2 linked regions of the Notamacropus eugenii genome follow. Each later gene encodes a partner of the first gene's protein in a complex. Links are inferred from orthologs where the notes say so. Each region holds a gene or a part of one and is shown in the gene's direction. Other genes may lie near its edges.

Region 1 (7,932 bases):
AAATTCATCTTTACCACTATATCAGCCCTGAGACTACAGTATTATTCATGTTATCAACTGTTGACATTAACTTATTAACTTATATAGTGTTTTAAGGGCCTTGTTTATGCCTTCACAACAGTATAACGCATAGCCCTATACCATGCAATTAGGAGTAACAAGTGCTTCTTGGTGATGACACAACACAGAAGAAACTGAAGCCTAAGTCACGTATCTACCATATCAAATTGTGGTAGTCGGAAAACTGAATTTTAATCCTGGGCAACAATGTTGGTCTTATGCAGACAGCTAGGTAGCACAGCAGATAGAGTATTAGATTTGGAGTTAGGAAGTTGAGTTTGAATCCTGACAATGGCACACAATAGCTATGTGACATTGTTCAAGTCACTTGACATCTCATCATCCTGGTTTCCTCATCTGTAAAATGTGATTAATAATAGTACCTACCTCTCAGGTTTGTTGTGAGAATCAGATTAGCTAATACATGTAAGTGCTAACTATCGGGCAGGTAGGTGGCACAGTGGATGAGAAACTAAGGCCAAGAGAAGTTCCAGTTGGGCAATGCAGCATCTTCCCTCCTTCCTTCCTTCCTTCTTCCTCCTCTCCTGAGTCTCCTTCCCCTCCCCTCCAAGTGAATGTAAATAGTAATTGTTTCTGTTTTGGCCAGAAACCCTGAGCATCTTCCCCTCCCAGACTGATTTTTTTTTTTTACTAGGTTAAAGGAACCATTCTCTGCGTTATTTCTTTCCTAGCCTTAATCACTGAATGGGTGTTGCCTCAGTCAAACTGAGACCTATTAAAAACCTTGCTTAAAAAGGTCAAGGTTTGGGGCAGCTAGGTGGCACACTGAATAGAGCACTGGCCCTGGAGTCCGGAAGACCTGAGTTCAAATGTGATCTCAGACACTTGATACTTAATAGACCTTGGGCAAGTCACTTAACCCCAATTGCCTTGCCTACCCCCATCTAAAAAAGCAACAACAACAACAAAAAAAAAGGCCAAGATTTCCCAGTTCATTCAGGGCCATCTCCAGTTATGATCTTATCTTGTCACTGGACCTAGATGGCTGCAGAGGAGAAGGTAAGGCTAGTGATTATGCATATCCTTCTCTCACTTAAATCCAATTCACTTGCATGTCATGGCATCACCTCCCTAATGTCATGGTCCTCTTCGAGAATGAAGAACAAACAATAACAATGACAAGTATGAAATGTCCAATATTCAAGTGGTGATGTGGGATTGCCTCTCAGGGGAGAAACTGGAAATAGATATACAGATCTGTGAGTCATTGACATAAAGATAAATAAACTCACAGAAACTGATGACATCTCTGGGAGAGAATGTAAAGAAAGGACTAGGACACTTGGGAATAACCCATGGTTAGGGGACATCGATGATACTGTGGATAGAGCAGCAGGCTTGGAGTCAGGAAGACCTGAGTTCAAATCTGACCTCAGACACTTACTGTGTGATGCTGGGCAAGTCACTTAACTTCTGCTTGCCTCAGTTTCCTCAACTGGAAAGTGGGGATCTCGTTGTAAGGATCACATGAGATAATTGTGAAGTGCTTAGCACAGTGTCTGGCACGTAGTGAGTTCTAAATAAATGTTAGCTATTATTACTTTTATTATGATATGATGAATCAATAAAAGAGACTGAGCAGGATTAATTAGACTAGGGGTCTCAGACCCATCCTCTCCAAGCAGTAAATGGATAGATTAAAGCTGCCTGTGAACTTGTTTTTAAAAATTGTTTTGGTAAGTATTGAGTTGAATTGAATTGAATTATATTGAAATAGGATTGATTTCCTTTGTAATCTATGTATTTTGGTTTGTAAGCCTAAAAACATTAGTCTAAGAAGGGATGTATAGGCTTTATTAACTGCCAAATGGGTCCACAACACAAAAAAGGTAAAATACCCCTGGTTAAAGAGGAAGAGAATAGGGAGAGAATAGCGTCATAAAAACCAAGAGAAGAGGGAGAGAGTGATCCGCAATATCAAATGGAGCAGATTAATTAAGAAGGTTTGAGGACTGAAAAAAGACTGTCATATTTGACAATTAAGATAGCACTGTTAACTTGTAAAGAATGGTTCCAGTCCAGTAATGAAGTTGGAAGCCAGAATGTTAAGGGTCTAGAAGTGAGTAAACAGAAGAAATAAAGATTTCGAGTGGAGTCAGATTTTTCAATGAGTTTGCTGAGTAAAGGCGGGAAGATAAAGGACTGAGGGGATGGTAGAGTCTAGTGAAGATTTAAGGATGGGAGAGACTAGTAGGTTTGAAGGTAATAGGTGCCTCCCTTAGCACCCAGCAAGTAGAGACATTGAGCTTTGATTGTGAGTTCAGCCCTGTTTTGATACTTTGACCAGTAAGAAATTCAAACCCATACATTTCTTAAACTTTCCCCTTTTCCATTCTCTGCCTTCCCTTTTCTCATCTAAATTTCTTTTGGCTTCTATATACCAAGAGGTCTAGGTCTATGAATCAGAAACACTAGATCTGAATCCTGAAGATGCCAGTTACTAGAGGGGTAACCTCAGATAAGTCACTTTACTCTGGGTCTGTTTCCTCATCTGTAAAATGAATGAATTTCTGTAGTCACTCACTCTGCAGTGATCTCTGAAATCCCTTTCAGGTGTAAATCCTCTTGGTGCCAATGCAGTCACAGTGAGAAGGAGTGGGGATCAGCATCACAGGGATGCTGAAGTCAGACTTAGGGACAAATTGAACTTTCTTTTTCCTTCTGTACTCCCTTGAAGGCAACCTACCTCTTTCTGCAAGAGTGGGTTGGTCTTTTTGTTTTGGATCTGGAAGATGGGGGGTTTGGAGTGTTGGAGTTAAGTCATTTAGGACAATACAGTTGAAGGCTAGGGTTTTAAAGAATGGGCTATGAGTAGCTGGGGTCCATTGTGTTAAGGTATCCAGGATGGAGCATGAAAAAGGTCAGAGATTGGAGTGGTCTAATTTGGGAAACTGCATTGTCAGATGGGGTTATGATCTGCAATGTTTATATATTGGGATTGGGATGTTGAAGTTAGGGTGTATAGTGTTAAATGTCAGAGGTAGGAGCTGGGGAGTTCAACTGTCTGAAGTTGGAGTCTTGTCATTCTAGGGCAGTTGGAATGTTAAGGTTCCAGTGTTAAGATCAGGGTTTAAAGTATTGTCTATTAGCCACTGGAGTGGAATTCAAGTGTGTCATGTCAGAGTTGAACTTTGTGTATGGGAAGTTTAAAGTGATTAAATATTGAATTGTTGGAGGCTCTAGAGTTGGGGTTTGAAATGTTGGTCCTGAGGTGCCATACCCTGAGGTACTGGAAGACTGAAGTGTTATGTTTGGGGAAAAGTTGGATTGGGATGTTGCAGGTTTGAGGTTAGTGTTAAGGTTTGGCATGTTGGATGTTGTGGTGAAGTTTGGAGGTGCAGGGATGTCAAGAGTTTTTCTTTGGAACTTCTGCAGTATTGGAGTATCAGGAGTCTGAAGGAGTATTAAAGGCTGGGGGGGGGCGGTCTGAGTTTTGGCATTAGAAATTCAAAGATGAGGTTTAGGAACTTGGGTACTTTGGGTTAAAGATGTTTGGGACTTGAGAAAATTGGAGGGGTTGAATTGTTGGGATGCTGCTTAGTTTAGGGGTTGGGGTGTTGGTGTGCAGTATGGTTGTTGTGTAGATTTGGGGACTGGAGTGTTGGGAATCTGGGGGTAGGGGGGTGGAACTGAAGAATTTGATGGGTTGGGGTTGTAGATCTGGGGTCCGGGAAGTTTGGGGGTTGGAGACAGGTGTCTAGGGACAGCCTGAACATCTTGGGAGAGAGGAATTTCAGAGGGTCCTGAGCTCCTTCCAGGACAAGATCTTAGGGAGGGGGTGGGGAGGAAAGGAGCAGGGCATCCAACATGGCTGCACCTCAACCCCCTTCTCCCAGCTCCCCCCCTCCCCTCCCCACTCCCCCGCCCGGCCTGGCCCACGGGTGCCCGGATGTGGGTGACGCGCGGCCGCCATCTTCCCGTCCCCAGGCTCGGCAGCACCATTCGGAGCCAGTGCGAGCCGGAGCCGCCGCCGCCGCTGTCCCCGCCCGCCCGCGCGCCCGCCCGCCCCCGCCATGTGAGTCTGCACCGCCCGGCGCCTGGCGCCGTCCCCGGGGCTACGGTGGGCCCCCATGCACTGCCCGGAGCCGTCCTCCCGCTGTCACTGCGTCCTCCTCCTCCTCCTCCCTTCTCCCTGCAGCCGCCCTCCTGGCCGTTCCCACCCTGGTTGCCCGGGCGCCCTCTGGGAACTGGGCCCGGTCGTGCCGCAGGGAGGTGCGAGCCCTGGGCCGCAGCCTCCGGCCCCGCCGCCGCCCCGTCCCGCCCGTCCCTGCATTGTCCGTTCTGTCCCCCCTGGCTCGGCAGGCCGCGGGGGCGTCGCTTTTGCTTTTAGAGGAGGGGCTGGGCTGGGGCTGCCCGGGCCTCCGGAGAGTGGGGGACGAGGAGCTAAAAATACCCGCGCCCCAGGGGTGCCCGGGGGCTGCAGGGCCGCGGTGCGGTGGGAGCGGAGACCGAGATGGGGCGCCCCGAGCCCAGCCAACCCGACCCACCCCTGGAGATTGTCTGTCACTAGCCCTGGCACGGTGGACCCCGGCGTCTTTGCCTCACATGCCTGCCCCGGCCGCCCCGCAAAGCCTCACTGGTCTTGGCAGCCTCCACCAACCTACCCCCCAACCCCCCGACCCGAGGATTAGGGGCCTGTCCCCAGTCCTCAGGCTGCCAGGGGCCCTGAGAGGAGGAGGTGAGGAGTCTCACTACCACGGTGCTCGAGCCCAATCCCTCGTTCTTCAGGGGGAAACTGGGGGCCCGGAGAGGAGACTCAGACTCAGAATGAGTCTGGAAGGGCTTGCCTGAGGTCTTCTCTTTGGGGGGAGAGCTGGGGACCCGGGAGAGGGGAGGCTTGGCAGAGTCTGCTGTGAAGGGCTGGATGTCCTTGTGTCAAGACACTTTTGCCACTTACACCCTCAGGTCTGCTCCTGCTACTGCCATGCCCCCTGCTGCCCCAGCAGGAGAAGGGGGCCCCCCTGCTGCCCCCCCAAACCTCACTAGCAACAGGAGGCTGCAGCAAACCCAGGCCCAGGTGGATGAGGTGAGCGGAGAAATGAAAGGAAGGGAAGGGGGTAAGGACGGTTGGCCTCGTGATCAGTACCATGGACAGCTCACTGGTGTGTGCCTCGAGATAGTACATTGGGGTGGGAGAGAGGTTAGGGTAAGAGGCACAAATGTTTCGTGTCAGCAGTGTTGGACAGCGACCTGTGTCACTGTTGTCATGCCCCTGGCCACCTGGTAAGTTAGTTGGCGTTGTTCCTTTGCTTTACCCTTTGAGGTCTGAGCCTGTTGTGTCGGGCTGTTGTACATTAGGCATGTTGGAGGTTTGTAGGTGGTGGGTAAGTCTCATTGTTTGTTTTATGCCTTTCTGTGTAAAGGGGAGGTTTCTGACCTACACGCAGTGTGTCAGTGAGTTCTGCTAGTATGTCTAAGGCATGTACCTGGATTATCTGCTGGCATGCCCTTGCTTTGTGTCCCTAGTGGGTCCTGTGTATGCATTATGCCTTAAGCTTGTGTCCCTGGAAGTACTTACTCTTGTGTGTCTGACAGCTCCTGTACATTAGGTTAGTTAGTCCAAGGTTTGTGTCCCAGTATATGTCAGATGTATGTCCTTGGGGGGGTTGTCCTATTTGTGTGATGCTTGAAGCTTTTTCCTGGCATAGTTTGTGACATATCTTTGGTATGTTGCTTATGTGAATCTGTGGCATAAACATGTCATCACTTTCGCCTTCCATTGTCTAGGTGGTGGATATCATGCGGGTGAATGTGGACAAGGTCCTAGAGCGGGACCAGAAGTTATCAGAACTAGATGACCGTGCAGATGCCCTCCAGGCTGGGGCTTCCCAGTTTGAGACAAGTGCTGCTAAGCTCAAGCGTAAATACTGGTGGAAAAACCTCAAAGTAAGGAGGCTGGAAGAGGGCATAAGGGAGGTTCTAGAAGGTGTGTTAGCTAGGAGAGGAGACTGAAGGAATGGGGAAAAGTGTTCTGTAGGCCTGATCAACCCTAAATCAAAACTGAGTGACCTTGGGTAAGTCACTTCTTTCTGGACTTCAGTTCTTCCTCTTTAAAATGAAGGGGCTATCTTAGGTGGTCCCTAAGGTTCCCTTCCCCCACCCCATATACTGTAGTTTTTCAGGAAATGGCTTGGAGGGTGGGAAGTAGGCAGAGCTTGATACTCTGACCTTTTCCCCTACTAACCTGATTATCACCCCCCCATCCCTCTTCTTTCTTTCCTGTTCTCCTTCCTCTCCCTTTCATCTCTCTTTTCTCTTCCTTTCCCCTTTTCTTCTTTTCCTCATCCTCTCTCTACCTTCTCATCTCACCTTTTTTTCTCCCTTCCCTTCCCTCTTTCCTTCCTTCTTTCCACCCCACCCTCCCAGATGATGATTATCCTTGGAGTGATATGCGCCATCATCCTCATCCTCATCATTGGTGAGTGGGGAATTGAGGGAGGAGGTTCAGATACTATGGCCTAGGAGGAAAAAGAAACAGTTCCTTTCCATCTGCCCCTTGTAGGATCATTGGGTCCCACCAGCATCCTCAGAACTTACCCTCCTAACTAAGGCTGATGAAATTCCATCTGAGGGGGGGAGGCTGGGTAGAACTGAGGAGGGCTAAATGTAGGTGAGAGTTCCTCCAACTGGGGAGATATGGACCAAATCTGACCCTAACACTCTTTGGGTCTCTCCACAGTTTATTTCAGCACCTAAGCCCACAGCAGGAGCTGCCCCTGCCCGGGAGAGGGCCCCCTTCCCTTCATGGCTCTCCCTCTCTCAGCCATATCTTCCAGCCCCTTCTCCTGTCCCACCTCCGGTGTGTCTGCGTGTGTATCCCCCCTTGTAAATAGCCAGCTGTTATTTATACATATATAATATTATATATATTTGGTCTGTTTGTAGTTTTATTACTAGAAGATTTTTTCTGGTTGTTCTTAACTTCTCTCCTCTGCCCATCATCCTTTTTTTTCCCCTAACTCCTCATTCCTCTCCTTTTTTTTTGACCCACAGTCCCCTCATGTGCATTTGCTATGCAACATTCTCTATTCTTCTCCTTCCATCTTCCTTTTTGCCTGGATTTAGCTATTCATCTCTCCCACCCATCTCTCTCCTCCCAGGAGCCTGGGGCACCCCCTTATTTATGGACTATCCAATCATTATGGACTGTGACAAAGATTCCCTTAGCCACCTTTCCCTCCCCTATGTCTCCTGGGAGCTCTGAGCACTTAAATTAGCATGTCATTTACATAACCACACCCTTTTTGGTTTGCTTTTCAGTCATTCCTGCCTCCTGACTTGTATTGGGCCTCCTCACCTATTACTAAACACACCTATGGGTCCTTCAATTTTACCCTTATTTGCACGACATTTACATAAGTGAGGGGTCCTTTGCTTTTAACACATAGGGGCCTGTGGCCTCCCCCCCATTCCATTTTTTTCACCATCCATTTCCTTCTAACTCTTGTCTGTCATCATCCTTTCCCAATTCCTCCTTCCCATAAATGCCTCCCCAACTCTCAACCCCACAGCTGGTATGTAAGTGTCTTAAAGTTAAATGTTTTGATGGACCAATAATTCTGCCACTTGGGGGTCTCCACATTCCTACTCCCCATATTTGGTAGGGGGGCTCACTGACATTCTCAAAAGGGTCCCCCTCACCTGCCCCTCCCACCCCAGCTGGGATGAATTGGGGAACCCTGCTACATTCCGATTCTTATCTAGGAGGGGAGGCCACCAGCCAACAGGGGCTGTCACTGCCGTGGGGAGTCTGGTAAGGGGGCTGAGGAACACCTCACAAGTCCTCCATGGACCTCCTCCCCTCTGAGCCACCTCCTTGTGGGGAACAGAGCTGATAGCCCACCCTGGGGT
Region 2 (7,393 bases), about 1.3 Mb from region 1:
ATGAAGCCTCAGACCCCACTAGCTGTGTGACCCTGGGCATCATTGTAACAAGCTTTGCACACCTTAAAGCACTATGTGTTAGTTAATATCTTTTTCATTATTACTCTAGGAGATTAAATTATAGAGCAGCAGAAGCAGTCCACAGTACAGCACACATATCGGGACCAAAAAGGAAAACAAAACATTTGCACGGAGGAAAGCACTTGAGGAAACTAAAAAAATTACAAGCCTGGTATTATTACCACTTCGTTTGAAAACCTCCGTATTGGAGTTTTTCCTTTGAGTCTGACAACAAATCACCCCCACGATGAATGATACAAATTACCTGCCCTCCTTCCACTCTTCTTCACTCCCCTCCACCCATTCTCACCCCAAATCAAATTTTTTGCCCCCAAATTATCTAGTTACCATTTTTCTCGGTATTTCGGAAGGCAGAGAAAACAGATAAGATAGATGGGTTAACAGCACTGTAGATTTTGACTCGGAAGCAAATAGAGTCAAATACATAGTAGTGTCCAATCTCAAGTGACTGGAGGAAAAGTATAATGCTTTGGGTCAGAAAGGACAAAGGTGGAAGGCTGACATTAGGGACTCCCAAAGTGGAGAAGGTGCTTTAGAACAACTTCACCTATTACGAGGGCCAGTGGTCAGCCAGTCAATCAGCCTAGGCAATCATTCTTCATGATTTCCGCCCTCTCTACCCACCATCGTTGTAGCTAGTTCTCCTCTCCTCTTTATCTGTCCGCTCCCCTCAGAGCAGTAAATGAGAGCTGGACTCCAGGGCAAAAGGTTGGTAGTCCGCACACTGTTTCCTGCCTCAAATCCCCCAATTGCCACTCCACCCCTAGGACCGCAGGTTTCTAGGCCATCTCGGGGCTCACCGAATCTTAGGAGTAAAGGATGTTAGGGCTGGAAGGGTCCTTAGAAATGATAAACCCAGTATCCATATTACAGAGTGAGGGTCCCTGGGGCGAAGTGACTTTCATAACAGCCCAGCGACAGAACCGGATTAGCATCTCTCTTCGTGCCTCACCATTGAAGCCAATTACTGCTTCTAGCTCCAGTCCAAGCACCTCGGATTCTGGCGGAGTAGTGGAATCCGCCATCGCCGCAGCACCGCTCGCCTTCTTCGCTGAAACTCACTGCCCAGCACTCCGCGTCCCTCTGTCGCGATGGCAACCAACCAGCAGCTGCGCTTGCGTACAAAGCCTCCTGCACATCTCTGGTCCTAGGAAAGGGCTCGTTCGTCCGTGGGACTGGGAGGAATCAGTCCCAGTTCCGAATTTTTCCCAAGTACAAATTTTAACCTTCATTTTTTTTTTACAAGTTTGAGCTCCAAATTCTCTCCGATCCCTCCTTTTCCTCACAATTTGATAAAGATAATAGATGCATTTGCAGGTTTAGAAAACATATTTCTATATTAGCCATTGTGTAGAAGAAAACACAGACGAAAACACAAGAAAAATAAAGAAAGTAAAAAAAATGTGCATTCAGATTCCATCAGTTCTTCCTCTGGGAAGAGATAGCATTTTTCATCATAGGTTCTTCAGAGTTATCTTGGATCTTTGCATTGCTAAGTCATTCCCAGTTGTACAATATTCCGGTTAGTGTATACAATGTTCTTCTGGTTCTGCTGACTTCACTTTGCATCAGTTCATGCCTTTCCAGGTTTTTCTGAAAGCATCCTGTTAATCATTTCTTATTGCATAATAGTATTCTGTCACAATCATATATCACAACTTGTTCCAGCCTTTTTCCAATTGATGGGTGTCTCCTCAACTTCCAGTTGTTTGCCACCACTAAAAGAGCTGCTATAAATATTTTTGTACATGTAGGAAAAGTTGGCCTGAGAATACAGCTGCCTTTTGAAGATGTGATACAAAACCCAGTTTGTAAATGTAAGGGCAGGTTGAGGAAAGAATAGAGTGAGCTACTATGTCCACTTTCGAAGTAGGGCTAAGAGGCTGATATCTTCTTGTTTCATTAGTACGGTTGTTTGGACCTATATGGAGTGGGTATCCCCTGTAGGAATCTGGTATTCTTCTGCTACCTTGACTTAGCTTTTGACTTTTCCTTCTCAGTCTCCTCCTTCTAGAGTCTTGACCCCAGAGTCCCGCCTCCATCTTTTGCTGTAACCCTTATAAGCCCTAACTGAACGTGGCCAATCGTATTGGTAACAGGCCTCCTACGGGTCATGGTTCATTGGCCCTGAGCATTAGGATGGCTCTGTCTCCCTCTGTGGCTAAGGTGTGAGCTGCTGAGCACTGCGTTGCCCCATCTGATATGGCTCTGGATTGGGCTGTCTGGGACCTGATCAGCTTGGGTACTGGTTTGGCTCTGTTCTCTACTATAGAATCGTAAGAGAGGGCTGGCTGCCTGAGCTTGATGCTTCCTGGGTGCTGATCTCATCCTATATCTGGATAGAGTTCAGGCACTGGCTATCCAGCATGGTATTGCCTGGATACTTGGCTGGTCCTATCTTTTGCCATGGAGTGGACTGCCTGGGCACTATGCAACCTGTGTGTTACATTGCCTAGGTGTTGATGTGGTCTTGTGGCTCCAGGCTGGTTTTGTGCTTTATCTTGTGACTCTTCTGGTTTACCTCTGCTCAGTGGTTTATAAAGTCATTTCTCTTAGCTTTCCTTTATCATTGTTCTATTTCCTTTTTAGAGCTTTACTAGAGTGTTGATGGGAATGTATGCTCCCTATGGCCTATCATGTTGCCATCTAAGCTGGCTATACAATTTATCTACAGCATAAGAAATGTTGGTGTGCTATACAGAGCATGCTTATATATTTTGCACCTGGTTTCTGACCTTCTGACCATATGGAAATGGGAGAAGCTGGTTGCTGGCCATGAAAGAATAAAGGGCTTACAGAGATGGAAGGACTGATGATTTTGGTGTTGCTAAGTCAGACCTGAGTAGATTTACAAAAAGAAAGACCCAGTCCTTCATTTTTTCCTTTTCTTTCAGCTTTGAGGAAGCAGGATTAATTTGAAGAAAAAGTCCAAATTCTCTAAATCCTTACAATAAGTTCAAGAAGTTCTTCTGGCCAAGGGGCCTCTAGCTAGGGCGGTGGAGGCAGAAGATCTAGATTGAGACTAAGGACTTTGCTCTGTCCACCAAAACCATTCCTTCTCAGGGTGTTAGCTATCTCTTCTCCAGGCACTCAGATCTCTGATTCTGTCCAGCCCAGTATTTTTATTCAGGCCTCAGAGCATTTGACCAAATGCTTCAGCTAAATGAAAAAAATTTCCTATTGAAAATATATGTAGGAGTTTTCACACCGAGAAGATGGAGTTATGTTTTCACTTGATAAACGTGTGAATATGACTAGTTTCTAAATTTTATGTATATGAGACACTTTTAAGTTTAACATAAGTCAAATCTATCAAAAGCCATTTTAGCCCATATTTTAGTCAAATAGAATTAAACATATATGACAATTTTAGAACAACACAAAAAATCCTAAATATACAATGAAAATGTAGTGCACTCATCAACTGAAAAAATGTTATAATTTTTGTATCTGTAATCAATCATCTGTAAAGGTGAGAGTTATTAAGTTGGCAGATCAATTGCCTCACTCCCACTAAGAGGCAGATAAAAGTTTAATCAGGTGCAAATATGTCATGTTTAATAAAAAGTAAGAACGTGTCTCCTCCTTAGTTCACCAATCACCAACAAAGCTTGGGTATTCTGTTTAGATTAGCTGAAGCACTTGGTCATACCCACATTTTTAACATGAATATTTACAACTTGGAAACCTCACAAATCAGGGCTTGGTTTATTGTTTTGTTGATGTTAAGATGGAGAAAAATGTTAATAATGAAGATTAAACTTAAATGGATAAATAAAAAATAATATCTAACATTTATATAGCACCTACCTACTATCCCCCAGGCACTGTGTTATAAGTACTTTACAATTATAATCTCATTCGATCCTCACAATAACCCAGGGAGGTAGATGTTATTATTTGCCCCCTTTTTATAGAGGAGGTAACTGGAGTTCAGTGACTTGCCCAGGGGCACACAGCTACCTTATGTCTGAGGGCGAATTTGAACTCAGGTCTTCCTGGCTCCCGACCCAGCACTCTAGGCACTGCGCCGCCTATCGGCCGGTTTCCTGAATTACCTTTCCATTGCTTTTTTAAAATTCCCTTTCTGCTGGTGTAGCACAAAGGGCCATGGATCTCACGTTTAGAATCCCAGCTCCACCACTTTAAAACCGAGAAGCCGGACAGAGCACTTCCGCTTTCTGGGCGTCAGTTTTCTCATCTCTAAAAGGAGGAGTCATGATTTCTTAGGCCCTTTCCTGGTAAGGACTTCTCTCTCCCAGGCCCTTCCGGTTCCCCTCCCCACTTCCGGCTCCGTCCCGCCCCCTTGTGGCGCCTCTGGGAGAACACACTCTCGCTTCCTCCTTAGCGCTGGCTTCGCCTGTAGGCGACTGAGCCACTTGGTCTGCCGTAGTTGGAGGCAGCAACCCGGAAGTTTTGCGGGAAGCGGCAGAGGCAGCGTCATGGCGCCGGACCCCTGGTGAGGCCCGGGCTGAGGGTCCCAGATCAGGCTCCCTGGGAGGGGGCATGTTGGGAGGGGTGGGGCGGAGGTGGGGGGTGGCGGCCAGGCCGGCGCCGGGAGAGGCCCAGGGAGGAGGAACGGGGAGCCGGCGCTGTGAGGGCACAGCTTAGACCGCCGGAACCGAACCGCCTGTGGGAGACTCGAATTGGATTTCATCGTGTTGTTTTCCTACAGCTCTGCCGGTCGGCCACGCCGAGGTGGAATAGTAGCAGTAGTCTTAGTGGTGCACATATGTAGCGCTTGCTGTGTGCCCGGCTCTGTGCTAAGCTCTTTACAAGGGTCTCATTTGCTCCTCTCAGCCACGTTGGGGGTGAGGTGGGGGTCGGGAGGGTGAATATTATTATTAATACGGAGGCTCAGTGACCTGACCGGAGCTAAAAGTGCCTGAAAGCGGATTTGAACTCGGGTCTTCGGGACCTCCCGGCGCCGGGCTCTATCTACTGAGACTAGGTAGCTCTGGATTCAAGCTTTTGGGGTTTGGGGCATGCTCTTTTGCTGGTTCAGGGACCACGGATGAGAACTGCCCCGGGCACCCCTTCACCTCTGCTCTCTTGGTAATCCGATTTTATTCACCCGCACGCTGAGTTAGGGACCTTAATGGACAGATCAGTCAGATAGCACCCTGGCATGGAACAGTCCTGCTCCGTGCCAGGCGCTGTGCTGTGGGCACTGTGCTACAGTGACACAGAGACCAAAATGAAAACAGCCCTTGCTCTCAAGGACCCCACCTGTGCCTGTATAGGTGCAGGTAAAATGTGCAAGTCACCATCGTGGGTTTAGAACTAGAAGGTCTAGTCCTCATTTTATAGATGAGGGAACTGGTCCAGGGAAATGAAGTGACTTGCCCCAGGGCACACAGATAGCCAGTAGTAGGCATGGCGTGTGAACAAAGGTCTTCTGTCTCAGTCTGCAAAGCCAATACACAGTAATCTTAGAGGGGAAGGCTCTAGCTGTAGGACCAGGAAAGGCCTCCTACAGAAGGTAGTTCTTGATCTGAGACTTGAAGGAAGCCAGGGAGTCAGAGATGGGACTGTTTGGTCTTCCAGGTGTGTGGAACAGTCTCTGCAGATGTAAAAGTGAGAAGGCATCTACTGAGGCAGTAACATGGTCACAAATAGGTAAAATACAGGATACAAAGGCAAATGCATATATAGGCAAAACCCAAATTGCTTCATATTTTACCACTTCTTCCCCTGGAAGTCCCCTAAAAAGTAAAAAGTAAAAAGGACATGTAATAGGTACGCAAAACTGGAGTTTGAAACTGAATTAGACACTTATTAAAAACCAGCTAGGTTAACATTCTCATAGGCCTAGAACAGCTGACGTTCTTAATGAATCCTAGACTTAGAAGGCTGAGAATGAAGATGGTCAGGTTTCCCATTTCTGTTCCAGGGACTTAAAGAGTCTACTTTTTGCAAACCTATAGGGGAAAGGTGAGAGCTTACCTGTGAATGGAAGGAAAAGAGGCTAGGGCTAGTTTGAACATTTCTTTCCACTAACCTAGCAAACTGCAAAGGAGATGGGGGTAGGTGGGAGGTCATTTTTAAGTACTCATTCATTCATTCATTGAATAAACACCTATTAAACATTTATTAAGCACCTATTTTGTGCAAGGTGATAGGACTAATCCAAAGTGAGGTAAGGAAGGAGTGATATCCCATAGGAAAGGAAGGTAGATGCATGGAGAACAAATTTGCAATGAGGTTTTTAAGTGTCTTTAAATATTTGTAAGGCTAGATGGAAAGATAAATAAGACTGGGTCCCTGATCTTAAGAAACGTATAATGTAGGGAGAAAGGAAATAAATGTGGATAAATGTAATTTAACAGACATACCAACTCCATGTAGCCAAGACACTGGAGATGTAGATTTTAAAAACAACTATAGTCACATGTTGAAGAGCTTACATGAGGAATTTGGGGCAGGGAGGAATAGGGAGTGTATTAGGATGTATATACAGAGAAGTAAGTATACTATAAGGTAGGGAATGATGAAAACAAATAGTTCACAATAGGGCGCTCTAGAAAAATTTAGTTTAAGTTCAGGGTAATTAAGACACTGTACAGCAGTGTCTATTATTTGAGGACCAGCCTATCTATGGAGAGATTACAAAAAGACTGGCTAACAGGTAGTGAAAATTTTTTTTTTCTGTGCTCTCCTGTGAAATGGACAGGTACATGATGACCCCCAGTCTTGCGTTGCCCTAGTTTAGATTGTTCAGTGACAGAAAGGGGATAGAAAGTGCTAGGAATCATAGTTCTCAAACTACATAATAGTAATAATTAATATTTAAATAGCACTCTAAGATTTACAAAACACCTTATTTATTATTTCATTTGATCCTCGCAGTCACCCTATGGAGGTAGGTTCTGTTAATGTCTCCATTTTTCAGATGAGGAAACTGAGGCTGAGAGGCTAAATGATGTGTCTGGCTTCAAATGGCTAGTAAACATTTGAGTCAGAAGTGGAACTCGTTTTTTTTTTATTCCAACTCTGTGTAATTGTACTTCCTTTTTTACCTCTGCTCCAAAGTCGTGCTCTTTTAAGATGCAGTTTCTTCTACATGAAGGCTTTCCTGATCTTCTCGAATATTAATATCTTTCCTCCCAAACAACCTTGTATTTAACTACTTTGTATATATTTTGTATTCACTTTTATTTATGCTGCATATGTATATTTTTATATATGTACTTCTTTTCCCATTAGAATGTAAACTCCTTGTGAGTAGAGATTGTGTTTTACTGTTACAGCACAGTTCCTGGCACATAGTAGGCACTTAATAAATGTTGATTTGATTGATCCAAGTCTGGCT

Evidence for each region. Proteins that work in one complex are often made in the same cells at the same time.
Region 2: VAMP2 (region 1) and STX8 share a complex: the UniProt entries of both Homo sapiens proteins name them as parts of the SNARE core complex. The link is inferred for Notamacropus eugenii from reciprocal best matches to the Homo sapiens genes VAMP2 and STX8.

The regions. Positions count from the first base shown.
Region 1 is NC_092873.1:77,727,408-77,735,339, forward strand, and holds the start of VAMP2 (vesicle-associated membrane protein 2), read left to right. Parts: upstream 1-4,930; 5' UTR 4,931-4,945; coding exon 4,946-5,107; intron 5,108-5,808; coding exon 5,809-5,967; intron 5,968-6,447; coding exon 6,448-6,499; intron 6,500-6,760; coding exon 6,761-6,777; 3' UTR 6,778-7,932. UniProt on the Homo sapiens protein: Involved in the targeting and/or fusion of transport vesicles to their target membrane. Major SNARE protein of synaptic vesicles which mediates fusion of synaptic vesicles to release neurotransmitters.
Region 2 is NC_092873.1:76,438,464-76,445,856, reverse strand, and holds the start of STX8 (syntaxin-8), read left to right. Parts: upstream 1-4,388; 5' UTR 4,389-4,523; coding exon 4,524-4,540; intron 4,541-7,393. Other genes in the region: CFAP52 (cilia- and flagella-associated protein 52), read right to left, coding at 1,034-1,106. UniProt on the Homo sapiens protein: Vesicle trafficking protein that functions in the early secretory pathway, possibly by mediating retrograde transport from cis-Golgi membranes to the ER.